Linked DNA regions of Callithrix jacchus. The protein of the gene in region 1 purifies or fractionates together with the protein of each later gene. This does not show direct contact. Links are inferred from orthologs where the notes say so. Each region holds a gene or a part of one and is shown on either strand. Other genes may lie near its edges.

The links.
Region 2: the proteins of MTMR4 (region 1) and DNAJC10 purify together in Homo sapiens (affinity purification with mass spectrometry; 3 studies listed by BioGRID and IntAct, counting the BioPlex papers as one, with this or other methods). This does not show direct contact. The link is inferred for Callithrix jacchus from reciprocal best matches to the Homo sapiens genes MTMR4 and DNAJC10.

Annotation. Positions count from the first base shown.
Region 1 is NC_133506.1:72,646,653-72,650,266, forward strand, and holds the end of MTMR4 (phosphatidylinositol-3,5-bisphosphate 3-phosphatase MTMR4), read left to right. Parts: intron 1-638; coding exon 639-816; 3' UTR 817-2,914; downstream 2,915-3,614. UniProt on the Homo sapiens protein: Lipid phosphatase that specifically dephosphorylates the D-3 position of phosphatidylinositol 3-phosphate and phosphatidylinositol 3,5-bisphosphate, generating phosphatidylinositol and phosphatidylinositol 5-phosphate.
Region 2 is NC_133507.1:46,275,128-46,278,953, reverse strand, and holds part of DNAJC10 (dnaJ homolog subfamily C member 10), read left to right. Parts: intron 1-9; coding exon 10-137; intron 138-454; coding exon 455-571; intron 572-2,932; coding exon 2,933-3,034; intron 3,035-3,826. UniProt on the Homo sapiens protein: Endoplasmic reticulum disulfide reductase involved both in the correct folding of proteins and degradation of misfolded proteins.

The DNA.
Region 1 (3,614 bases):
GACTCGAAAACCAGTGCAATACATATGTATAGAACTAAGTGGAATTAGTCTGGAAATGGATACCTCTTTATAGAAACTATGTTTGTGGCCAGGTGCGGTGGCTCACGCCTCTAATCCCAGCACTTTGGGAGGCCAAGGCGGGTGGATCACAAGGTCAAGAGATTGAGACCATCCTGGCCAACATGGTGAAACCCTGTCTCTACTAAAACACAAAAATTAGCTGGGCGTGGTGGTGCGTGCCTGTAGCCCCAGCTACTTAGGAGGCTAAGGCAGGAGAATTGCTTGAACCTGGGAGGTGGAGGTTGCAGTGAGCTGAGATCACACCACTGCACTCTAGCCTGGCACTTAGCGACAAAGCGAGACTCTGTCTAAAAAAAAAAAAGAAAAAGAAAAAGAAACTGTCCCCAACTTTTCACTTACTATCATTCTCAGTATATTGGCATTTCTTAATATTAATTAATTAATTTTTTATTAGAGATGGGGTTTCGCTATGTTGCTCAGGCTAGTCTCAAACTCCTGGCCTCAAGCAATTCTACTGCCTTAGCCTACCAAAGTGCAGGAATTACCGGTGTGAGTCACTGTGCCTGGCCAGTATATCGGCATTTCTGATGAACTCTTCCCTCTTTGTGCTTTGGCAGAAATTGTGGGAATGTATTTTGTGCTGCATGCTGCCACCAGAAGCTGCCCATTCCTGATCAGCAACTCTATGACCCAGTTCTCGTCTGTAACTCATGTTTCGAACACATTCAAGTCTCTCGTGCCAGGGAACTCATGAGCCAACATCTGAAGAAACCCATCGCGACAGCTTCCAGCTGAATGCCAGGGAGATAACCTGTCCAATTTTAGCAGGTTGAAGGGAGGATCTGCTTCAGTTGTAGTTTGGAAGGTTCCTTGGTGTGGCTCATGAAAACACAGAGCTCAAAGATACCATCTTGAGAAATCCTCCTTGGTATCATGAAACTGGAGCAGAGGAATTCCAATTTGGCAGGAGGTCCTCTTCTGGTGAGACCCCTCACCTTGGGGTAATGGTCCTAATCCAGACCCAGGGTCTGGAAGCTTCATGTTGAGTTGGTGACTCCAGCTGCTTTCTCCTGGAGGTCACAAGATAATGATTGCATAGATGTTGCCTGGTGCAAAGTGCCCCAAACAGCAATAGAAAGGCATATGTATAACCAAACTCCAAGTGATAACCAGACCCATCTCTCCTCCACCTTGACAAAAGCAGATTATAGTATATAAGATTGGAATTCCTGTCCTATTTGAGATGAACTATATCCTGTACCTCTGTGCTCTGTGTCTGTGTATGAAGGCTCAGTCTTTAGAGGCACTCCCTCTAGTTGCATTAGTACTGTCTTTCTGTGGAGTTTGAAGACTGGTTCAGCAAGTGGAGGTTTCAATGTATTTTTCAGTTGGCTCATCAGCCAGCATCGGTAAATATTCAGTTTAGGGGGACAGTTCTAGGGAGTGAGACATTTTTGGGAGCAGAGGAAAACTGCTGATATTTGGTCCTGGCAAACATTGAATTATTTTGAGCTATGAAGGCAGCCGTCTCTGTTACACAGTGGCAGCTCTTGCGTTATGCACTGTGAAGAATGAGAAGGGAAAAGCAAAAATTATCCTTGTGAAATATCTGCTGACTGTTCCCTACCCTTTGCACCTGACTTTTCCTAGTTGTCCTGGTGCTAACACAGGAGCTACACCTTGATCCTCTCCTGGCATGAAAATAAAGGTTTTTGTTGTTGTTTCATTGCCCACTCCCTGATGTTGTCTTTCCCTTGGCTGCTGCCTCCTCTGGGTCACACTGCTTCTTATCCTGAACACTTGACACCTCAAGGGTAGAATTTAGCGTTTGGTTTTTACCTCCTAGCATATGCTGTTTGGTATGTGAGGGTTTCAGTACAAATGCTGCTGTCTATTAATGTGCACTTAACAATGGAACCCAAACAGAAGAGAATAAAGCCTTGATACCAAAATTGGGAGAGAACATGTGTCCATTTGGACCAAACGTTGTTGGTTTTTTAAAAAAAATTATTTTGTTTTTTTCATCTTAATATGTACCAGTGGCACTTAACCAAAAGATACAGTGATATAGCCATGTACTGTGGGCAGGACAGATACAGTCTCCGTGGCCTATAATGAAATCACTAGAACTTTATACATTTTCCTTAATTTGTTGACATATAAATGGTAAATTACATTTAGGCTTATCCTGTTTTGAAATGATGATAGTCATCTTTCTCACTGCTACTTTCATGTTGCTTTCTAGAAAACAGCATTTCATTCCAAAATAACTAGGATCTGCATTTAGAACAAGAATCATTATTTGTCCTGACCTTTTCAGTCCTACAGAGAAGCATCTGTGGTTCTTTTGTACTTGACATAGATGTAACCTAAAAAGTTTTGGGGTATTTGGGTCAGCCTAGCAGAACTTTTTTTTTTTTTTGTTCATTTAAATGGAGCTGTATAATGGAGATTTTGTGTCTGCAAAATTCCTGAGATCATTGAAAAAATAACAAGCTATTCCTTGTTTCTGATACATAAAATTATTTTAAGCATTTTCTTAGTCATTAAAATTTACTGCCAGTTGTGAGTGGCTTTTTAATTAACCTGACTTTCATTGCACTTCACTCTGCTTGTTTTCAAGGGGAGTAAGATTGGTAACATTTGGGGAGACTATATCTGTCTACTTAGTGCGGCTGTTTTGAGGGACTGTCTCATCAGTGAACAAACTGCATGGCCTTGGAGAGACTCTGGGCTCTTGGCTCAGATGTGTTCATCAAATACTCCTTTCAGAGCTGTTGTGGGTGTAAGTGATATGATGTGGCCAAAAATCCAAACCGTGCAGTTGCGTTGTGACAAACATGCAATGTGCTGTAAAAATTCAATACAGTTTAAATAAAATCTCTATATTAGTGCTGCTTTGTTGAGTCTTTTATTTTCATTTCTAAGAAAACTTAATTTTCACTCTTTGACCATGAGAAGAGTAGAACATTGTACCCCTTTCTACCAGCAATTTCCTATTTATTTATTTAGAGACAGAGTCTCACTCTGTCACCCAGTCTGGAGTGCAGTGGTGCGATCTCGGCTCGCTGTAGCCTCCGTCTTCTGGATTTACGCGATTCTCCTGCCTCAGCCTCCTGAGTAGCTGGGACTACAGGTGCGTTACCACACTGGCTAATTTTTGCATTTTTAGTAGAGATGGGGGTTCACCATACTGGTCTGGCTGGTCTCGAACTCTTGGGCTCAAGCAGTCCACCCAGCTCAGCCTCCCCAAGTGTTTGGATTACAGGCGGGAGCCAGTGTGCCCTGCCAATTTCCATTTTCAAATGAACCTCTATTTTTTAATCAGCACAGCTCTGGTTATATTCTTATTTATTGATTGGCTAGGGATCGATTATTATGGTTACCGTAGAATTCTATCCCATCTTTATTTCTCTTTAATGTCTAAAATGCCACCAGCTGGTTGAGCAGGCACACAAAATACTACTTAGATTCTCGTGATTTCCTCCTCCCAAGGACCTCAGTTCTCATCTAACTTTGAGTAATTGTTTTGAGCAAAATGCTGACCGAAGAGAGTGTATCTTAAAAGATTTAAGATGCTACTATCTAACAGG
Region 2 (3,826 bases), on another chromosome or scaffold:
CTTTGAAAGGAAAGAAGATTCTGTATGATATACTTGCCTTTGCCAAAGAAAGTGTGAATTCTCACGTTACCACACTTGGACCTCAAAATTTTCCTGCCAGTGACAAAGAACCATGGCTTGTTGATTTCTTTGCCCCTGTAAGTTATTTTTATCTGTCAAATTCTAGCATTTTCAGATTTTCTCTTATTATGGCAAAAAGACATTTTCTAAATAACTTTGAATTATTATTACTAGAACTGTGTCATTCCATTATGGCCACCATTGCATATTGCTTCTAAAATCCAAGGAAAGTTTACCACTAAATACAGTTTGTGTTACATAGCATATTACTTGTTGCGGAAATGTTGGGATGTTTTTGTGTGTGTGTGTTTGTGTGTGTGTGTGTGTGTGTCTGTGTGTGTGTGTGTGTGTGTGTCATTTGGCTCAGTGCTTATGAATACTTTTTCTTTCCTAGTGGTGTCCACCATGTCGAGCTTTACTACCAGAGTTACGAAGAGCATCAAATCTTCTTTATGGTCAGCTTAAGTTTGGTACACTAGATTGTACAGTTCATGAGGGACTCTGTAATATGGTAAGGCAAAGTATCAAAAATTCTAATTAATTTTTTTAAATGGAGACCTTTTGGCTGTTTAATGTTAAAGCAATAAAATAAGAAATAATACATCTTCTGTTTAGAGTAGTAACAAATTATTTAAACAAATAATTTTTTTAGAAAATATCAGATATGATTGGATTAAACCATAAATAGCTAATCAGTGGATTGAATGTAAATAAGATCTTATAAACTCAAGCAACTGTTTTCATTAACTTAATGAAATGCTTATATTATTTTCTAATTATTTAAAAGCTTTATATTTCTTTAATATTTTTGACATTTTATAATTTTTTTCCTTTGGCTTTTCTTATACTTCTAAGTATATTTGCTAGAAGGAAATTAAAACAGTTAACAAGCCTTGTGAAATCTTTGTGTAAATGAAAATATTTTCTCAGGTAAATATTCACTTCTCAGTTGCAAAAAGAACTAGAAATTATATACTGTGGAATGAAAGTACATAATATCACCTACGAAATATTCTTGGCCAAAAAAAAAAGCCTATGGTAGATCTATCTCCAGATCTATTACTCTATAAGAAATTGAATGACAGAGGAGCATATTAAGTGACACCATGGGTATGAAATGTGCACATCCTAGTATGTGGAGAACTTTACAGGACAAACACCCAGTTTATTGGCTAAATACATTGTCTGTAGTGGAGGAGAGAGTAAAGAGACTTAGAAGACTCTCAGTCAGATACAGCGTTTAGACTTTGGATGCAATTTAAACAAATCAAGTGCAAAGAAAGAGATAACTGGGGAAATGTGAACACTGCAAGATATCTGATGATTTCAGGTAACTATTGTTAATTTTTGACAACGAAAATGATATTGTGGTTATATGGAGGAGAGTCCTTACATTTTAAATATACTGAAATATTTGTGGATGAAATGATAGATCATCTGAATTTTGCTTTAAAATAATCTTGGGAGTAGACTAGAAAGGAAGTGTAAGTGAAATACAAGTAGTCATGAGTCCGTGATTATTGTAGTTATATGAATATGTGAGTTTGTTGCTCTCTACTTTCGTGAATGTTTTAAATAACTGATAAAAACCAAAATGTTTTTTTAAAAAAACATGGAGGGAGAAAAGATAAAAGGAAAAAAGAAATGGGAAGAGGAAGGAAAACAAAAGAAAGCCGTATGTTTTTAGAACATCATAGAAGTTTAAGCCAGCAGCAGTGGCACGTGCCTGTAGAAATTTCATTTAAATAAATTTTTATAAAAGGAAATAAATAAGGCTTTTGGTTTTGAATGTCTTCTATGTAACTTTGAAAGAAATGCCAACCAAAGATACAAAATTGATGTGATAATAATTATCTTAATTGGAAATCCTTTAGTTTTTCTACTTTTAATCTTAGCTCATTAAACATGTGAGTTCAGTGTAAGGGTTTAAAACTATGATACCAGATTTACCTGGAAAGAGAGGCCAGAATTCACTACTCACTATTTAGTTGCCACTCACCAATTGGTTGAAGTTACTTAGCCTCTCAGTAATTCATTTCCTAATCTATATGGTGGGTTTTATAATTTTAGCAACAAAGTAGAATTGTTTTGAAGATTAAATGAGAAACTACATGTTAAATGCCAAAATAGTGCCCAACACATACTAAGCACTTACTAAATTTTAGCTATAATTGCTTTGTTATGTTTCTTTTGTTTTTTTGAAAATTATTTTTAAATCCTTGTCTAAGCTTCTAATTTGCTAATGAGTACTTACAACTTCAAGAGTGCAAAGTTCAGCTACAGTAAATCCATAGATCTCTGTGTAACTAAAAACATAAAAAAGCTTTAGAGAGATGCTTCCTGGGCTGGTGCCCATTTTAATTATCGGAAGGAAATTAAGTATTTCTACTATAAAGGCTGTCTTGAAGAAAGAATAAAAAGTGATTACCTTCCTAGAGCATGATTCATAATTCTTTAACCTAAAGCATAATCATGTATCCCCTAATTATTTGTGTCTTTATTCTTGCTGTTTCCTGATCATCCACTTCTAGAAATAGTATTTATTGTGGTTTAAAAAAAGACTCAAGCTAGAGATAAAGCCTTGTTATAGACTCTTCTTATCTTGGTTCAGGAGAGTAAAAATGGGACCATTCATGTAATTACCCATGCTGGTTTCTCAATGTTTTGATGCCCTGTGGTTTTCATGGCTAATGGAGCGGCTGTAAATAAGGATCAGGTATTTATCAGTATTCATTGCCATGAGACTAAAATTATTGTCACCAGCAATTTAGCAATGGGTTTTTAAAATCTTGTTAAAGACAAACTTGTTATAAATTTGTAACAAATAGGTGAAATCTATAAAATCTTTAATTTACATTCTCCTTTTTATCAGTATAACATTCAGGCTTATCCAACAACAGTGGTATTCAACCAGTCCAACATTCATGAGTATGAAGGACATCACTCTGCTGAACAGATCTTGGAGTTCATAGAGGTATTTCAAATTATAGACTGTGTGGCTAGAAATTTTTTAGTTTATATGTACATTCTTATTTCATACTGTTTAATAGGATATATTTTTTTCATGCCAAATCTATTTTGACAAAATGATTTTTATTTTTCTAATGTTTTACTCTTATTATATACTTGTCTGTAAACTCAAAATAAATCTGTGTTTTATTTGTTACTTGCTATGTATAGTGCCTTACAAACAATGGACACAGTTATGTATTAGACATTTGCAGTATACTTTCACATAAAGCCTTGTTACCCCTTTGTCCTGTTTCCTCCAAAAACAAGTGTCCGGCATCTACAGCATCCTTTTTTTTTCTCAGCAACACTCTTGATTGACTAAAATACTTACAGGGATCTCCTAGAAAAAAAATGAAAAATGCTGGTTTGTTATTATCCATTTAATGACCCTCCGACCCTGTCCTACTCATCTGTTTCTCCTCCTCTAACGTACTGTTTTGTGTTGTTTTCCCAGCAAGCCACTTCATTAGTATTACCTGAGTGTTTTTAGGCCGAAGCTTTGTTAAAATATCATTTGGAACAAAGAATCTGTAGAAAGGTGTAGTAGCTCCTGTCAGAATGTCAGAAAAATGAGATAGTAGGCTTTCCTTTAGTAATTAAAGAATCCTTTCCAAACCAGTCATTCTTGGTTCTCGAACAAAACTTTATGGCCTCTGTAGACATCCAGGCAGCCCTTGAAACTTGTATTATCCACACAGAAACAAAGTCATCTCTTTTCCCTGCCTGTTAGGATTTTAGTCATACATAGACATGA